Linked DNA regions of Notamacropus eugenii. The protein of the gene in region 2 interacts with the protein of the main gene of each other region in a biochemical or structural test. Links are inferred from orthologs where the notes say so. Each region holds a gene or a part of one and is shown on either strand. Other genes may lie near its edges.

The links.
Region 1: the proteins of ATF7IP (region 2) and uncharacterized protein form a complex in vitro, tested with the Homo sapiens proteins (2 studies listed by BioGRID). The link is inferred for Notamacropus eugenii from reciprocal best matches to the Homo sapiens genes ATF7IP and MBD1.

What each region holds. Positions count from the first base shown.
Region 1 is NC_092879.1:101,936,383-101,944,145, reverse strand, and holds the start of uncharacterized protein, read right to left. Parts: upstream 3,284-7,763; 5' UTR 3,262-3,283; coding exon 3,175-3,261; intron 2,427-3,174; coding exon 2,275-2,426; intron 1,594-2,274; coding exon 1,476-1,593; intron 1,387-1,475; coding exon 1,271-1,386; intron 1,031-1,270; coding exon 948-1,030; intron 863-947; coding exon 822-862; intron 726-821; coding exon 591-725; intron 497-590; coding exon 368-496; intron 70-367; coding exon 1-69. Other genes in the region: CXXC1 (CXXC-type zinc finger protein 1), read right to left, coding at 4,422-4,568, 5,366-5,518, 5,623-5,719, 5,826-5,875, 6,212-6,322, 6,410-6,617, 6,805-7,175, 7,623-7,763. UniProt on the Homo sapiens protein: Transcriptional repressor that binds CpG islands in promoters where the DNA is methylated at position 5 of cytosine within CpG dinucleotides. Binding is abolished by the presence of 7-mG that is produced by DNA damage by methylmethanesulfonate (MMS).
Region 2 is NC_092874.1:196,063,713-196,071,545, forward strand, and holds the start of ATF7IP (activating transcription factor 7-interacting protein 1), read right to left. Parts: upstream 3,139-7,833; 5' UTR 2,750-3,138; coding exon 2,724-2,749; intron 1-2,723. UniProt on the Homo sapiens protein: Recruiter that couples transcriptional factors to general transcription apparatus and thereby modulates transcription regulation and chromatin formation. Can both act as an activator or a repressor depending on the context.

The DNA.
Region 1 (7,763 bases), on a different chromosome or scaffold from region 2:
TGGGCCTCGGCGCCATGTGCCTGGGAGTTTCCTAGTAGCCAACCCTAGAGGTTTCTTGATTATCCGCTTCTGGAAGACAAGGGGCTGTGAGTCACAGATATGCCCAGGCACTCAGGGGACCCCCAGAACACTGTACTGGGGGCTGAACTGTAGAGAGGGAGGCGGGGCTCACTGGGGCCATTTTGTGGGGAAGTCTCAGTTTCCTCCTCTGTAAAGTGAAAGGGCTGGATATTTACAACAATAAAGAAAACTGGACTTTTTAAGAAAGGGAGGCTAGCCTGGGTGAGTCAAGGTCTGTTCCGTAACCTTCAGCTCACCAATCTGCCTGTGGCCTGAGGTGCTTGCTGGATGCCCAGGGCTCACTCACCTTGAGACAGCGCCTCTGGACACACTTCCACCTTCTCTTGAGGCCCGGTCTTTCTCTACGTTTGCAAATTCGGCAGATCCCACAATCTTCTTTGGTTTGACAAGCAGAACAGAGGCCACACCGGAAACTCTGGGGAGCAGAGTGAGGGCCAGAGCAGCGTGAGGGGCCAGCCCCAAGCCCGCCCCAGCCCCAAGCCCGCCCCGGCCCCGGGAGCCCCACTGACTTTATTGGTAATCTTGAGGCAGATGCGTTGCGCACACTGGCTTCGGGGGAGCTGAGGAAGCTGGCGAATACAGGCGCTACAGACACCGCAGTCCTCGGTCACCCGGCAGGCTGCGCAGTCGCCACAGCCCACGCGCTGCCAAGGAAACAGGAGATCCCAAGGCTTAGGTCACACCCCACAGTCTCCCCTCCAAGGGTCGGCCCTAAGTGGGGGCTTAAGCAGCAAGGCTACCTTGAACATTCTCTGTTCCCGGTTGAAGGCATTTCTCCGAGCTGGGGGAGGAAAGGAAGAGATTGTACGAATAGCCAAGGGCGGCCCCTCCTCCACGCTCCAGCCTGGGGCTTGGCCCAAACCCACCTCGGCAGTTTTGACACAGGGACCGGAGTCGCTGACGCCCAGTGTTGTCCCCTAAGAGGCTGGCTCCACAGTTTTCACACCATCTGAGAAACAAGGGAGTCCAGCCAATAAACCCCCCCAGGTGGGGGGGGAGTGGGGGTGCAAGGACCACACGGACAACCCATTCACTCATGAATCTCATCCTGTCCCCTCCCAGGGGTGCCAAAGGGACACTACGTTGGCAGCAGCCTCAAAGGCCTGGAGGACAGCTTGCTGTCCCACCCCCACAGCTGCTGTCCCACTGGGCTTTGGAGGGTGGATGTGCCAGCATGTTTCCCACTCACCGAGGCTGAGGGTCCTGGGGTGGGGGAGGACTGAACCTGAGCTGCTGAGACTGCTTCTGTTTGACAGATGGTACTGCCTTCCTGTGCCAAGGCTGCCTCTTCTTCTTTTGAGATGCCTGAGGGTACAAGAGCAGAACTCCCAAAGGGCCCTATGCCTCCCGGCAGTCTCACTGACCACTTCCCTCTCCCTAGCAGTAACAGATACCTTGGCAGGCATATTGTACTGAAGAACACCGTGCCTGAAGTCAAAGCGGCTCAGGTCACAATCTGGCCCCAGAAATCGGGTCAGCTCGATCTTACTTCGGATCCGCTCCCCAGTAGGGCTGCAGTGGAGAGCCAGAGGGGGGGGGGGGGGGGGGGGGGGAGAAATGCTTCCCTGAATGTTCCTGGTCCAGCCTAGAAGCGCCAAAGAACTCAGCAGTTCCTCCCAACTACCACCCTCACTCCAAGGCCTGCTTTAGCCACAGTTAACTGCCCCCTCCCTTGGGTCCAATGCAGCTGAGTCCATGGTTAGCCTCTGCTCTTAAGAAAGAAAAATTCTTACTTAGAGGCCTGGGTTCAATTCTTGCCTCAGACACTTACTGGCTGTGTGGCCTGGCTTAAGTCAACTCTTCCTTTTTCTCACTTGCCTTAGCTATAACATGAGAAGCACAATGGCACCTACCTCTCAAGGCAGTTGTGATAAAATTATGTGTAAAATACTTTAGCACAAGGCCTGGCACATAGCCTGGCACTTTAGAAATGCTGATTGTCTCCTCCCTTCCCCTCCCCATGCCCACATCAACCCAACTGAGAGGTTGGGGGTAGGGGTAAGGCTACCAGGCCCAAGGCAGTCATTCCAACCCCACCTAGGGCAGTGCTTGGGCATGGCACCAGGAGTGATGGCACGGTGCGGTCGCCCAGAAGCTCCATCCACACCTCCCCAGAACCAAGTGCAACTCAAAGCTCTCAACCCCTTGCCCACCTCCCTGCAGTACCCCATCAAGACCATGGGTCCTGCCTACCTCTGATAGTAGGTATCTGAACGGCCGCAGGAGGCTCCGGATTTGCGGAAGGATTCACGGCGCTTCCAACCAGGGCCCAACACAGGGCAATCCAGCCAGTCCTCAGCCATAGAGGACCAAGGTAAGGAGTGGTCAGTGCCACAGGTGGCCGCCTGTGGAGGGGAAGCAGGTCAGTGGGTGCTGGGAGTCCAAGGCTCCAGCTCAGAGGGGAAAAGGGTGACCCTGAGCCCATAGGTCTGCCTCACCTGCCCCCCACCTCCCAGGTCCTCAACCCAGCCCTTAAGTAAAGACTCAGACCTTCCCAGGAGAAGAACCCAATGAATGGAAGGCATTACCTAGGGTCACAGTCTTAGGCAGAATTATCTACAAGTGGGGAAACTGAGGCCAAAGAAGGAGGAGGGAATAGCTGGAGGTTAAGGAACAGAGCAGTAAAAGCCAGGGTTGAGTCCCCAGTGCCCCACAGGGCCTGAGGTGATTGAGTCCAGCAAAGGTGCCCTAAGATGGGGGAAGCAGAGGTAAAATGGCTGCCTTGGAAGAGAAAAAGAAGTGCCAGGATGGCAGGCCACCCTGGGAGGGGACACACAAGGAGGGCCCCCTGCCAGGGGCTCGCTCCCTGCCAGGGGGCTATCGAGGAAGGCCCAGGTGAAGCCACTACTTGAGGCTGGGGGGCGGGGGGCGCGCGGGATCGGGTTCCCTACCCCCGGGCCTCGCGCCCCGGCCCGGCGGTCCCTCCCCGTAGCCCTCCCCCTGCGCCCAGGCTGGCCTTTTTCGAAGACCTGCTCTCTCTCCCGCCTCCGCGCCTTTGCCCGCCCCGCCGGAGGAATCCTCCAATTCCCCGGGCCCCCGCCCCGACGCCTCCGGCTCGGCCAGAGCCCACCCCGCGGTCAGGCTCCCTCCTACCTGCTCGGCCGGCTCCCCTCTGCCCGGTCCGCGTCCTCTGCCCGTTCTAGAAGGCCCAGCTGCCCCGGCAACAAGCCCACTGTCCATAGAACCCGGAACCGGAAATCCGGCCCTGCCCCGCCCCCACTCCAACGCAGTCCCAGCTCCAGGCCAAGCGAGGGCCAGCTGGGCTAGGGGCGGGGCCTTCGGGTGGGGGTGGGGCCAGGAGGCGAGCCCAAGTTCCCCAGTCTCAGGCTTAAGCCCTAGACCCCAGGGGCATGGCCCTGGCTCTGGCAGGTGTCCCTTCCCCTGCACTCAGAGGGTCTCCCCGGAAAGGAGGGTGGGCCAAGCCAGGCAGCCTATGCCAGGCCCTCTCGTGGTCCCTGGGCATGCACCTCTCTAGCCCCAGCCCAATAAACAGCAGAGCCTGATATCTGGGGGGAGCATGGGTCCTGGCCTTTGCTCTGCATCCACAAAGACCACCAAGCACCTCCCAGCCTTCATCACAAGTTAGAGGGTGCTCAGAGGCCCTGGCCCCAGGCCCAACTCTTTAGGACCCCATTTGGGGTTTGCTTGGCAGAGATACTGGAGTGCTTAGCCACTTTTAAGGTCAAATCCTAACTGGGTCACTCAAAACGTGACCCTCCTACTTCTTCAGGCAGTTTCCTCACCTACAAAGTGGGCACAGCAGCAGTAGCTCTGTGCCAGGGTGGTAGTGAAGAAATGAGATGAACTTGTATGAAGGAAGCTGCCAACTTAAAACCCACACTAGGTCTAGGCCTCAAAGGTAGCATTAGCAAAATGGGTCAGTTTTCAATTCAGAGCCCTCCCCCTCCTTAGACTGCAGTGACCTCTCACTGGCCACTCCGGGATGTCTGGCATCCAGACACCTTGAACTTCAGTTCTGCCCCACCCCATCCAGGGTGGGGGTCAGAGTCACACAACAGCTGATGCAAAAGGAAGCCACAGGTGGATTTCTTCCCAAATTTATTGTGAACAAACTTCAGTTCTGGAGTTTCAGCCACAGGGCCCCTCAACCCGCCACATCAGTCACCAGAGCAGCGTGGGCTACCAAGGTTACGAAGGGGTGACTAAAGCGACCCAAAGGGCTGAGGAGTAGGGCTGGACAGGGCAGAAACAAAGGAAGCAAAAAAGGGCACGAGGAGATGGGGAGTAGAATGGCAAGCTGGCCACAGGCCAAGGAAGGGATCTAGCCACACTTGGGGATGGAGGCCCAAGCCATGAGGGCCATCTCCTCAGGGCTGGACTCAGCGGTCAGCATTGGTACGCAGGTCTGTGGTGAGGGGGTCATGCTGGATGGTCTGGTGCAGCATTAGGGCCAGCAGGCCAGCCCGGTTAGTCATGGCCATCCTCACATTCCGTTCCTGCTCAAACAGCTCATCCAACTTGTACCACTATGGGAGAAAAGGGAAAGGCTGTGGAGTTTCATGGGGACAGGCCCAGCTCTCTCCCTTACGTTTGCTCTGGTTGCTGCTGTTGTTGCCAGGGTGGGGTGTGAGGAATTATCATACTGCTCCTCTAGGCTGGAAGGACTGCACCCTTCCACCTGCTTTCCCCCACCCCACACCTCCACAGGGTGAGAATGCATTACCTGGCCTCAGTCCCAGTTCCCTCCCCCAGAAAAACAGTCTCCTGTTGCAACTCAGAGCATTTTCTCTGGCTATCCCTCATGCCTGGCACTCTCCCCATCTGCATCTCTAGCTGCTCAATTCCATGGCTCACCTCAAGTCTTGGCTAAAGTTCTGCCCTTGTGCAACAACTCTTTTTCCTGATCCCCTTAACCTTAGCACCCTCCCTCGGAGATACCCCAATGGATCCCACCTAGTTATCTGGACAGAGTTGTCATCTGTGGCTTTCTCTATCTCCAGAGCTCAGCTCAGTACCAGTCACATAAACACTTGGTCACTGATCTCAGCTTGTGCATGCATGAAGTCTGCTGACCTCCCCGTTCCCTATGAACCCAATCCGGCCTCTCCCCCAGCTCCAAGGGCAGGTCACCTCACTCGTCCAACCTCATTTCGCTCCTCTCCCCACCTTGCCAAGGCTCCAGGCCCTTATCCATGGGAAGTGACAGTGTGCCCCCAGAGCTGGCAGAATGGAGAGGGCCTCCAACTGGGCCCAAGACCCCATGCCAGGTGCTCTAGCCTCCTCTCTGCCTGAAGTCCACACAGGCAAAACCAAGAAGTCTCACCACTCGCACACGCTCCAGATCCACCTCAGCCCTTCGCAGCTTCTCCCAGCAATAGTGCCGATTGCACTGGCGTTTGGGCAGGCGACAGAAGTCTCCCGTCAACTCAAACACATCCCGTACCAGGGGGCAGCCACATACTTCATCCGCTGGTACCTGCATCTCCCCCAAACAGGCACACAAGCCAAATGAGTCATCAGAGATGCACAAGACCACAAGAGATGATAGCAAAGACTATGTCCCCAGCACAATTTACTCACCTTGGGGTCCCTGGAGTGCTCGGGGCACAGAACCTGCAGGCGTTTACAATAGGTTTTGCTCTGGGGGTTGTAGACATCACAGAAGAGGCGAGTAGCCCTGGTGGGATAGGGGTTAGGAGCAAGGGAACCATATGCTTATCAGAAATGTGAGAAGATGACTCTATTCTCCCTGCCCTCCCCTTCCCCAAGGTGCCCTCTCTCACCCCTCGATTCTGGTGGGGTACATCGACCCGAAGGATGTCTGGCTCTCATACTGTGGAAGACAAGGTTAAGATCCCACAATGCCCTGAATGTGCCTTTTACAGAGCCAGGGCCCTCATCAGCAGGGACTTGTTCCCCTGACAGTCTCTTAAGAAGGCACCCACTTTGTGAAGGGCAGCGTGGCCCATCCCCACTGTTCTGAGGGCAGTCGTTATCTCTCCCCCAACCCTTGTCCCCCCTGCACAGGTCAGTCACTCCCCCATTCCTCAGGCCAAACCAACCTGGACCCTGCCCTCCAAAGGACATGGACTACCCCTTCTGGCCTGCCCCACCCCAGTGGATGCTACCCTCCTAAGGAACTTCCCCAAGTTGCTGAGGGGCTAGGCACCTTGGCATAGCAGCGCTCCATATGCCTCAATGCCACCTTGGGGTTGATAGGATGGCCACAGGAGACGCAGAAGATCTGCAGGTCCGTATCCTCGCTGTCTCCCTCATTGCTCTACAAACAGGGAACCATGGAGCCCCAAAGTGAGACTGTGAGTACCACCTCCTTTCCCAGGGGCTCCCCACAACCTGGCCTCCTCACCTCCTCATCCTCGCGTACCACTTGTTGCTTGGCCCTGAGGATGACAGCCTCCAGCTCGTGAAAGCGACGTTCCATGTCCTGCAGGCGCATCCGAGCCCCCTGCTGTTCCCTTCGGATCCGTTCCAGAAGCTTCTTTCCATGTTCTTCTGCGATACATGGGCTTTGCTGCCACTGCTGGATTCGCTGGGGTAGGATCTCATAGATACGACTGCCAGGGAAAGAGGGCAAGATATGCATGGGAAGGGATCCCAGAGGGCAGTTGGTCTCTGGAGTCCTCCCCAGGAGCCACACTAGCTATAGCTTTCTGCTAGTAGAAGAGCAGGAGTGGGACAAAATGGGGAAAGAAGTCAGGCCTCATGTAATGTGGGCAAGAGATGGGGGGATGGCATCCTCACTTGGCAGCCAGCTTCATGCCACAGTCATCAGAGCAGTACTTGGAGCCTGGCTGGGCAGCCTGGACACAGCTGGGGCCCAGACACTGGGGCAAGGAGGCTGGGTCTTTGGCATCTGGGCGTTCAATGTGTTTCCACTTCTCTTTGTGCCTCTGCTTCTGCCGGTGACGCTTATATTTCTCCTCCTTCTGGGGCGGGAGGGGGAAGCTGGTGAGCCTCTGGACAGTTCCCCACTGCCCACCACTACCGCCTCTCCTGCTACTCACTTTTTTCTCTGACTTCTTCTCCCGCCGCTTGACATGTTTTACTTTCACTGCACGTTTCCGAAGTACTGGGTCCAGGAAAGGTGCATCCTCAGGGTCACTCAACCATGGCTGGGAGCAGGAAGGCATAGGCCACTGAGCCCATCACCCCTCTGCTCTGACCAGGTTGAGAAGGAGCCAGCAGAAAGGCACTGATTGGCCCTTTGGGGAATACTGTCTAACCACTACAGGCTCCGAGCCACGACAAAAAAAGAGTGTCCTTTCTCTCCCCTTGAATACATAAAATTCTAAATTGAGAGTTGGAATAGACCTTGGAGGCTGTAGAAATCCAATCTTATTACTTGCCCCAGGTGAAATAACTTGCCTAAAGATCCCAAGACTTCCGACCCACATGCTTACACCCCAAATCTAGCACCCAGTCCGTATTTCATGCTACCTCATGCTGGAGAAGACACTCCAAGGTTCTAAGCAGAGAAAACAGATAAAGGACCTACGTGAAGGGGCTTTCCAGAGGCCCAGTCTAATCTGCACAAGAAGGAACAGGGCCCAGCCCCTCACCAAAGTATGGTCATCGAAGGCGCCAGCACAGAAGTCCTGATAGAGCTCAGGGTCCAGAGGCAGATCCTCATCAGAGAGGGCTTCAGGGGTGGCCACGGCCTCTGGGGGCTCCTTTAACATCTGGAAATGTTCTTCCCGTGC
Region 2 (7,833 bases):
AACACTTCTCAGTCATGGATATTTCTTTTATTTTCATAGGTTGCCCCTGATGATCAGCAATGTGAATTTCTTTATTTCTGTTGCTGGGGAGATGTCAGACGCTCCATTTTGTTTACAATTTATTTATTTTAAATGCATTATTTCAAACTTCTCCCCAGTACTCACAGATTTCCTTTTGCATGAACTGACTGATGTTTTTAAGCAAGGATGTTTAGACAAGTTTTAATGAGTATATATAGAAAAGTTCACAAACATGAAAGAAGAGAAAAATACAGCCTCGTAAGATAATTTATGTGAGGTAGCAGGCAGATGTCTGACACATGTGCATGTGTGTTTTGTGTACTCCCATATTTCTCAGTTAAGTACAGTTTTATGTATTAATCTGGTGTTTCTCATGGGGAAAAAAATGGAACATAAGCAAAATGTGAAATTCAAATTATTTCCTGATATATCAATCACATTAGAAGAAATTTATGTTTTCAAAATAAGAATTGTAGCAAAATAACATTCAGTGTGCCATGGCAGCCAAAAAATATTTAATTTCTGGCTGCATGAAATTATGTAATTTTAGGATCTATAACAAGGGCCTTATATGTTATAAACATTATTCCCAACCAAACCACATCTGGAATATTACATACAATTCTGAACCCTATATTTTAAGAACAATGACAACCAGGAATGTGAGGGTCTTGAAACAAGAAACTTGCCACAGCAATTGTAACAGGATAACCATGGTTATCATTCAAGAATCCTATGCTATAGATTAAAGGAACTTTCCAGAGAGAAGCCCCCCCCCCACTCCACCCCCCCCACACACCTCAAGCAGAGAAGCTTTGCTAGCTTGAAGGAATGACTAGAAGAATCTCACATATGCTACTAGGAGAAAACCTATCAAATACTTGGCAGCAAAAAAAATATATAATTAGCACTGGCTGATCACTCTGAGAGGGTAATGAAGCAATTATATGCTAAGGTGACATGAAAAATAAGGAGAGATGATAGCTTCACTAGATGTACATACATTATGTGCAGAAACTCTTGAGAACAGCCAGATAGACAGCTATTACTCAATTCTGGTAATTCATCCAAGGACAAATGAGAACACTTGAAGGAATTCCTACTCCTATAGCTAGGCATTACACTTGGGTATGATTGAACACTTTAAGAGTGCAGGTGGCATTTTTTCATCATTACTGCTGATCAAAGATAGGGGCTTCAGAGGGGGATAAAATGTTGTGAGTGATCAGTTAAGAAGGTGGCATCTGAGAAGGCCATGTGGATTTTTCAACAGTTAAAATCGGCCTGAAAACCTGCACTCTCACCTAAAGGCCTTTAAGCAGAAAACTGAGTAGAAAAGAAACTGCTTACATGCCATATGCCAGCTACCAAGCCATATATCACAATAAGCAGCAGATACAAAAGAAAATGAGGGGGTTGGATTCAAAGGCCTTGAAGGCCTCTTTCAGATCTAAAATCTATGATCCTAAAATAGTGTCTATCAATTAATTATAGGCACTTAATGCCTTCCTGCTCATTGGTAAATATCAAAGGAGAAGGGGGATTAATGAAATTTCAAGGCCTCAGATGTCTGTAAACAATTGTACAAATTCTGGGTGATAAACAAGAGATCATGAAAGAGAGACCACAAATGTAGCCAGCAGGTCATGTAGATCAATATGACATATTCCTGTGAGGAAACCCAAGAAGGAGTGAGGTGAAAAAGTACAGTACAAAACTGGGATTAATGGAAAAAAGACATACAGGAATATTACTGGGATTAGTGGAAAAAAGACATATAGGAATATTACAGTCAACTACTTGGTCTCCCTGCCTAACACTCCATTCATATCTGACCAAATTATACCTCCCTGCCCTCTTCTCACCCATCCCCCATTTCAAATAAACTCCAAAGACTATTATTTCTAGGATGAAATATAAAATCCTTTATTTGGCATTTAAAGACCTTTACAAACTGACCCCTTCCTACTTTTCTACATACTTTAATCCTCTCTACACAATCGAAAATTCTCACATAGACCTCCACCTCCTGACTCAATGTTTTTGCACTGGCTATATCCCCTCATTACTAGCATGCCCTGCCCTTTACCCTCCTTCAAGACTTAGCTCACCATCCCATCTTCTTGCAGGTGGGCTGTTCAGGTCCCCTCAGCTACTAATAATGCCTTCCTTTTTTGTTTCAGATTCTCTACATATACTGTTATTCCCTTCTATGTACATATTCATATGCTGTTTCCCTCATAATACATCCTCTTTGAGAGTAGGGTTTTTTTACTTTTATTTTTGCCTTTCTTTGTAGCCCAGCACTCAGCACAGTGCCTGGCACATTGTAATGCTTGTTGCCTGACTGTTGGTCCTCTATATTCAGAAAGGTCTCCTTTTCTATTAGAATCTGTAATTTCCTCCAAGAATCAGAATAAGGCCTTTCCTACCCCCTGAGTTACTAATATGTTTTACATGTATTTGTATGTTTATATATGTGTATTTGCCTATCCTATTTTAGTATCAGAAACTATTTAACTTTTGTTCAATCCCCAGCAGCTAGCATATTGCCTGACACATAATAGGTACTTAGCAAATAAATGAAAAAGCATTTATGAAATGTTTAATGTGTGCCAAACACAAGCCCTAGGGATACAAAAACAAAAGTGAGACATTCCCTGTTCTAAAGCTTATTATAAGGAGAGAAAATATTCCCTTACTGGTAGCCAGAAAGAGGTATTCTCATCGATGATGTATGTAACAGTAGGGCAGATCACTGACAAAACCTTTACAAAGCTAACGGTAAAGCTGATTTGATTACTTAAAGAGGTGGAAGGTTAAGAGATATTCATAGTAACAAATCTGAAAACAGCCAGGGTAAAGATGAGGATGAATAAATGGGGTCCAGGGAGTTCAGAGTTGAATGTCATAGCTTTTTCCAGAAATGGTCTCTGAAGGACTGGTTTGGAGGGTGGGTCAGCAGCAGGATGAAAATGGCCAGTGTAAAGATGAGGCTGCATAGGCTCAAGGAGTTCATAACAGAGTGCTTTAGCACCTCCTAGGCATGGTTGAAGGTCCAGTTTGAAGCAGAAGCAGGGCAGAAAATGGCCAGAGAGAAGGTGAAGATACATGGACCTAGGGAGATCAGAGAGTGAAATGATTGACATATGATTTCTTGCTTGATTATGTACCAAGAAAGAAGAAATATATGGTGGGTTTGGGGAAACAGACTATAAACCTAGCATTCTAAGCAGAACACAGTAGCAAATCTGGAACTTGTTCATACCTCTCCAACAGCTTTTTATTTTTACTTTTAGCATTCTTGACTTCACTAGGGTTTAACTGTTTAAAGCAGCTGGGGGGCGGGGGGGGGGTGATAACTGATCATTAGAACACTGATAATCTAGACCTGATTTGGATCACTAAGGAATAACTCACTGAAAAGCAAACACAATGGAAACCTAGAGAGGAGGCAGTAACAAGTCTCTCTTGAAGGGTTTGTGAAACAGGAGTTTAGTCTTGCTCTGGTTGGTGCTATACAGCAAATGAGTAAAAGGTGCAGAGCAAGAATTTTTGGCTTTACACTTAAAGTTCCTAGCAAAGCTATCCAAAAGTTCAACAGCTTGTCAAATCGTATGCTGAAGACATCACTGGAATTCTTCAAGCAAAGGCAATGTGAATGAAGTTATACCAAATGCTTCCAGTAGGACTTGTACTAGATTCATCTCAGAGTCCTTCCTTCTTTCTGTTCTAAATCTTGTGATTTACTGCCAACATCCCAAGTGAGAAGAGATCATTTTAATGTATAGACAGCTTTTAAAATGACCATCAATTCCAACTATGAACTTGCCAGTGTCAGTCCACTAGTGACTACTACATACACACAATTACATAGTATAATAATTTACTTTTTTCAGTTTCCAGTAGTCCTATCAAGTATAGAAACAATTCGAAAAATTAATGTAACAAAATAAGATTAAATGTAACAAAAATCCTTATTGTAAGGATTTAGGATAGTGTGTATAGTGTTGTTTTTTTTAAACAGGAACTACCAACTACAATCAAAGTCTTAAATTTTAAAAACTGCCTTAAACGATTCAGTATTTTTGCACTAAAAATCCTCTGAACTCCTGAATGAGAACTTTTAATCTAGAAATAACAGGTAAACTTCAAGTAAAAGTTTGTAAAATAAGTTGTCATTTCAATGGAAAACATCAAGGAAATATATATTTGGAAAATGAGGTTGGTCAAGTAGTGCAGTAAAGGAGATAACAGACATACAATTTGTATTGCACTAATTATGAAACACTAAAATATCTGAGGAACGCATAATACAACTAGATAGAGATCTATCAGAGAACATAGACAAGAATCATACAGGTTGACTGGGAATGAATTTTCTGTAATCTGTACCCATAGAGGAAATCATAAATTCACTCTCAAGTGTGAAAATACTATTCTGTTTTAGGACTTATGCCCCAAGATCATAGGATTATGTTCATACAAATCATGAAAGCATCTATAAAACGTCTATTACTTGTCTCAATCATAACCTACAGTGTTTATCACAGTTTTACATACATTAGGCCACCTAATGTTTGTTGAATGAAAACCTATCTATAACTCAACCTACCAAATTTCACTGAAAAACTGAGAAAAAAAAGGTTAAAACTCATTTTCCACCTTTCTTTATGGGGTAGGGGAGGAACGATGGCATTATATATACTGTAAGACTTGGTATTCAGTTTGCTAAACTGTTTTTTTTTTTCTTTTTTTATTCTTTATCACAAGGGATGATAAAAGAAAGTGGAAGACTATGTTCAGAAAAAAGATGACATACAAACAAAATATATAAAGTAAAATTTAGAAAGAAAATACAAGTGTAATTATATGTAGCTAGATATGAAGAGAAAAAGAAAATGGTTGGGCTCATGGCAACAAACTGTCAATAACTTGGGATATGAAATTATGAAAAGAATAAAATCGTAGAACACAGAAATCTCATTGTTATCTGAAGTGGACAAAGTAAAGAGGAATGATGACACAGGGACAAAAGCACTATAGATTCACAGTAAATGTGGGGAAGGCATAAAATGGATAGTAAATATCCAAAATAATCTAGGATTGAATACTTTATTTTGAACTTAAGAGAATAACAGCCAGGGACTTTCTAATTGCTTACAAAATATAAAAAACAAAAAAGGAGTGTTCGTGGGTTAATCTTAAAATAAAGATGTTATGTTTTATATGTATATAAAATATAGTTTTCTATAACATATAATATAAAAATATATTTTATGTAACAATGTAAAAGGTTTTGTATTTTAAAAAAAATACTAAACACTTAAATTCATTCCCTATTATAAACAAGTTACCGATCCACCATGTTTTGTTACTTCACCAGAAGTAGAAGGCAGAATCATAAAGGTGATAAGTCTAAGTAGACAGCCTAACTTTTACAAAATTCTGCATAAAATTTTCCAAAAATAGGATTTATAAATACCATTCTAGTTAAGGCATTCAAATTAACAGATGTAATACATTATACCCAGTTGTCAAATTAGAATATACCAGGCACTTTATAATAAAATTCAATTGAATTAATGTAGTGACTCTGTTCAAGTATTCTCTGACAACAAAGGCTCTTTTAAGTAGACCATTTTTTAAAAGAAGCACAATATTCTTATATATTACAAAACAGTACTGGCAGAAATCCCAAGCTGTCAGTTGGTTTGCTTCTCTTTTTAACAATGTAAGTTTCCCAGAACAGCTTCGAAAATAACATTTTGAATTTGTACAAATTCCTTCACTTGCAAAGAGAAGAAAACTGTAGGAAGTGCAAATGCAATTCTATTTTTCTGTTCTGCTTCTCTATATAGAAATGCTCATTTTATTTGGTGCTAAGTACAGAATTTTTAAAAATTTCATTTAATAAATTTTTTAAAAGTAGGTTGTGGATGGGGACCAAAACATTACAACATAAATGGAGAAAAACACAAGCTTAACAGATTACGTTAAAATGTGAATGGATTAAAGAATCCATTAAAATGAAAGACAATGACAAAATAAGAAAACAAAACCTAACAAAATGTAGTATACCAGAATACATCTAAAAAACAAAGAGAAGTGTAGAATGAAAATAAGAGGCAAGAACAAAATATATGTCAGATGAATCCATAAAAGCAGGTATTGCTAATTGTGCTAAAACAAGCAAAAATAAATATTCACAGCATCAGGAGAGATAAAACTTTTCTTCTTTCTTCTCATACACTGAATGTGGTAGGATTCTGAGATTATACTTAGTACTTTCCATTACAAGGGAAGGGAGGAGAGGGACAATTTTCCCTTGCCTCCAGACTATTATGGCAACTACTTGCATGTGTTAATAAAAGTATGTCTTTGTCTAAGTGGGTGGGAGGGGTAGAAAGGGAAAAAAAATGGAGACCTTAAACCTAAATGAATCATGGACAATGACCATAACAAATTTTTTTAGAAATTTCAATTGAAATGTATAGCATCTAAATTCATAAAGTAGGTTACCTTTATTACAAAAAGACATAGGAATAACAATTATAGGAGTCTTAAATGTTCTTTTCTCTGACCTAGAAAAATCTAACAGAAAGGGAAAATATAGAACTGAACACACTTGGAGAATTTAGAGTTGGAAAAGCAAGGGAATTCTCTGGATGTTAGCATTTAAGATTGCAAAGATCTTTGGATGTTATATGATAGCTTTATAGAAATAAACTATGTGCCAGGGCACAGAGAATTAGTAAATGTATAAAAGGCAGAAACAACTACATTATTTACTGATGTTAATGAAATTAAAATAAAAGGATACAGACCTACATGGGGACTTAAGAATGATTTGCTAAATGAATGAGTCAAAGAACATATCATAGAAAAAAAAATTGTAAAAAAGAATAACAATGAGACAAATTGTAAAAGATTTCTGAACTGCAGAAAAAACCGTACTTAGAAAAAAATGTATTTCTGAGAACATGCATAAACAGAACAAGAGCATTACTTAACTTTTTAGAAAATCAAACAGCACCAAAATCAGCACACAAAAAAGATTTTAAAAATTAAAGATAAACTTGGAAACAAAAATGCTGTAAGTGATCATAAAATTTAAAAGCTAGTTCTCTGTGAAGACTAACAAAATTAATAAGCTTTTAGCTAACCTGATGAAAAAGGAAAATCAAATTACTAATAAAAATGAACATGGTGAAATCACAAGGAAATAAAACAGTCATAATACATATTATGCACAATTATATTTAGTCAGCAATGCTGAAAATTTTAAAGAAATGAAGGATTAATTGTAAAACTATCTAAATTAACAGAACACCAAATAATTTTTTAAAAATTAAACTAAGAACCACTAAAAAATGAATTCTATTAAGGAGTCTCGACAGTTTTCGAGCTTCCTAACTTCCCTCTTTTGGGTACCACCATCCTTACAGTTATTAGGTTTCTCACTTCCCCATACCTGTGCCTCCTCACCCAATCATACTTAGCTCTTGGCTCCTTCCCCATCACTGACAACCAATCCGTCATCAAGTCTCACAAATTCTATTTTTGTATCACCTCTCAAATGTCTCTTCCTTCTCTCTGTTCATTTGTTTACCAATGTAGTTCAAGCTTTCCTCATTTCATTACTGGCTCCCTAACGGAAGCCCCTACTTCCAATTTCTTAACTCTCCATTCAAGCCTCAGTCTCTTCTTTATATATGAAATGTTCACTCCCTACCTCTAGGAAAAATCTAAGCTCCTTCAGCAACCTGTTTTATTTTGTTTCTTACTACAGTTAAGGGTTTAATAAATGCT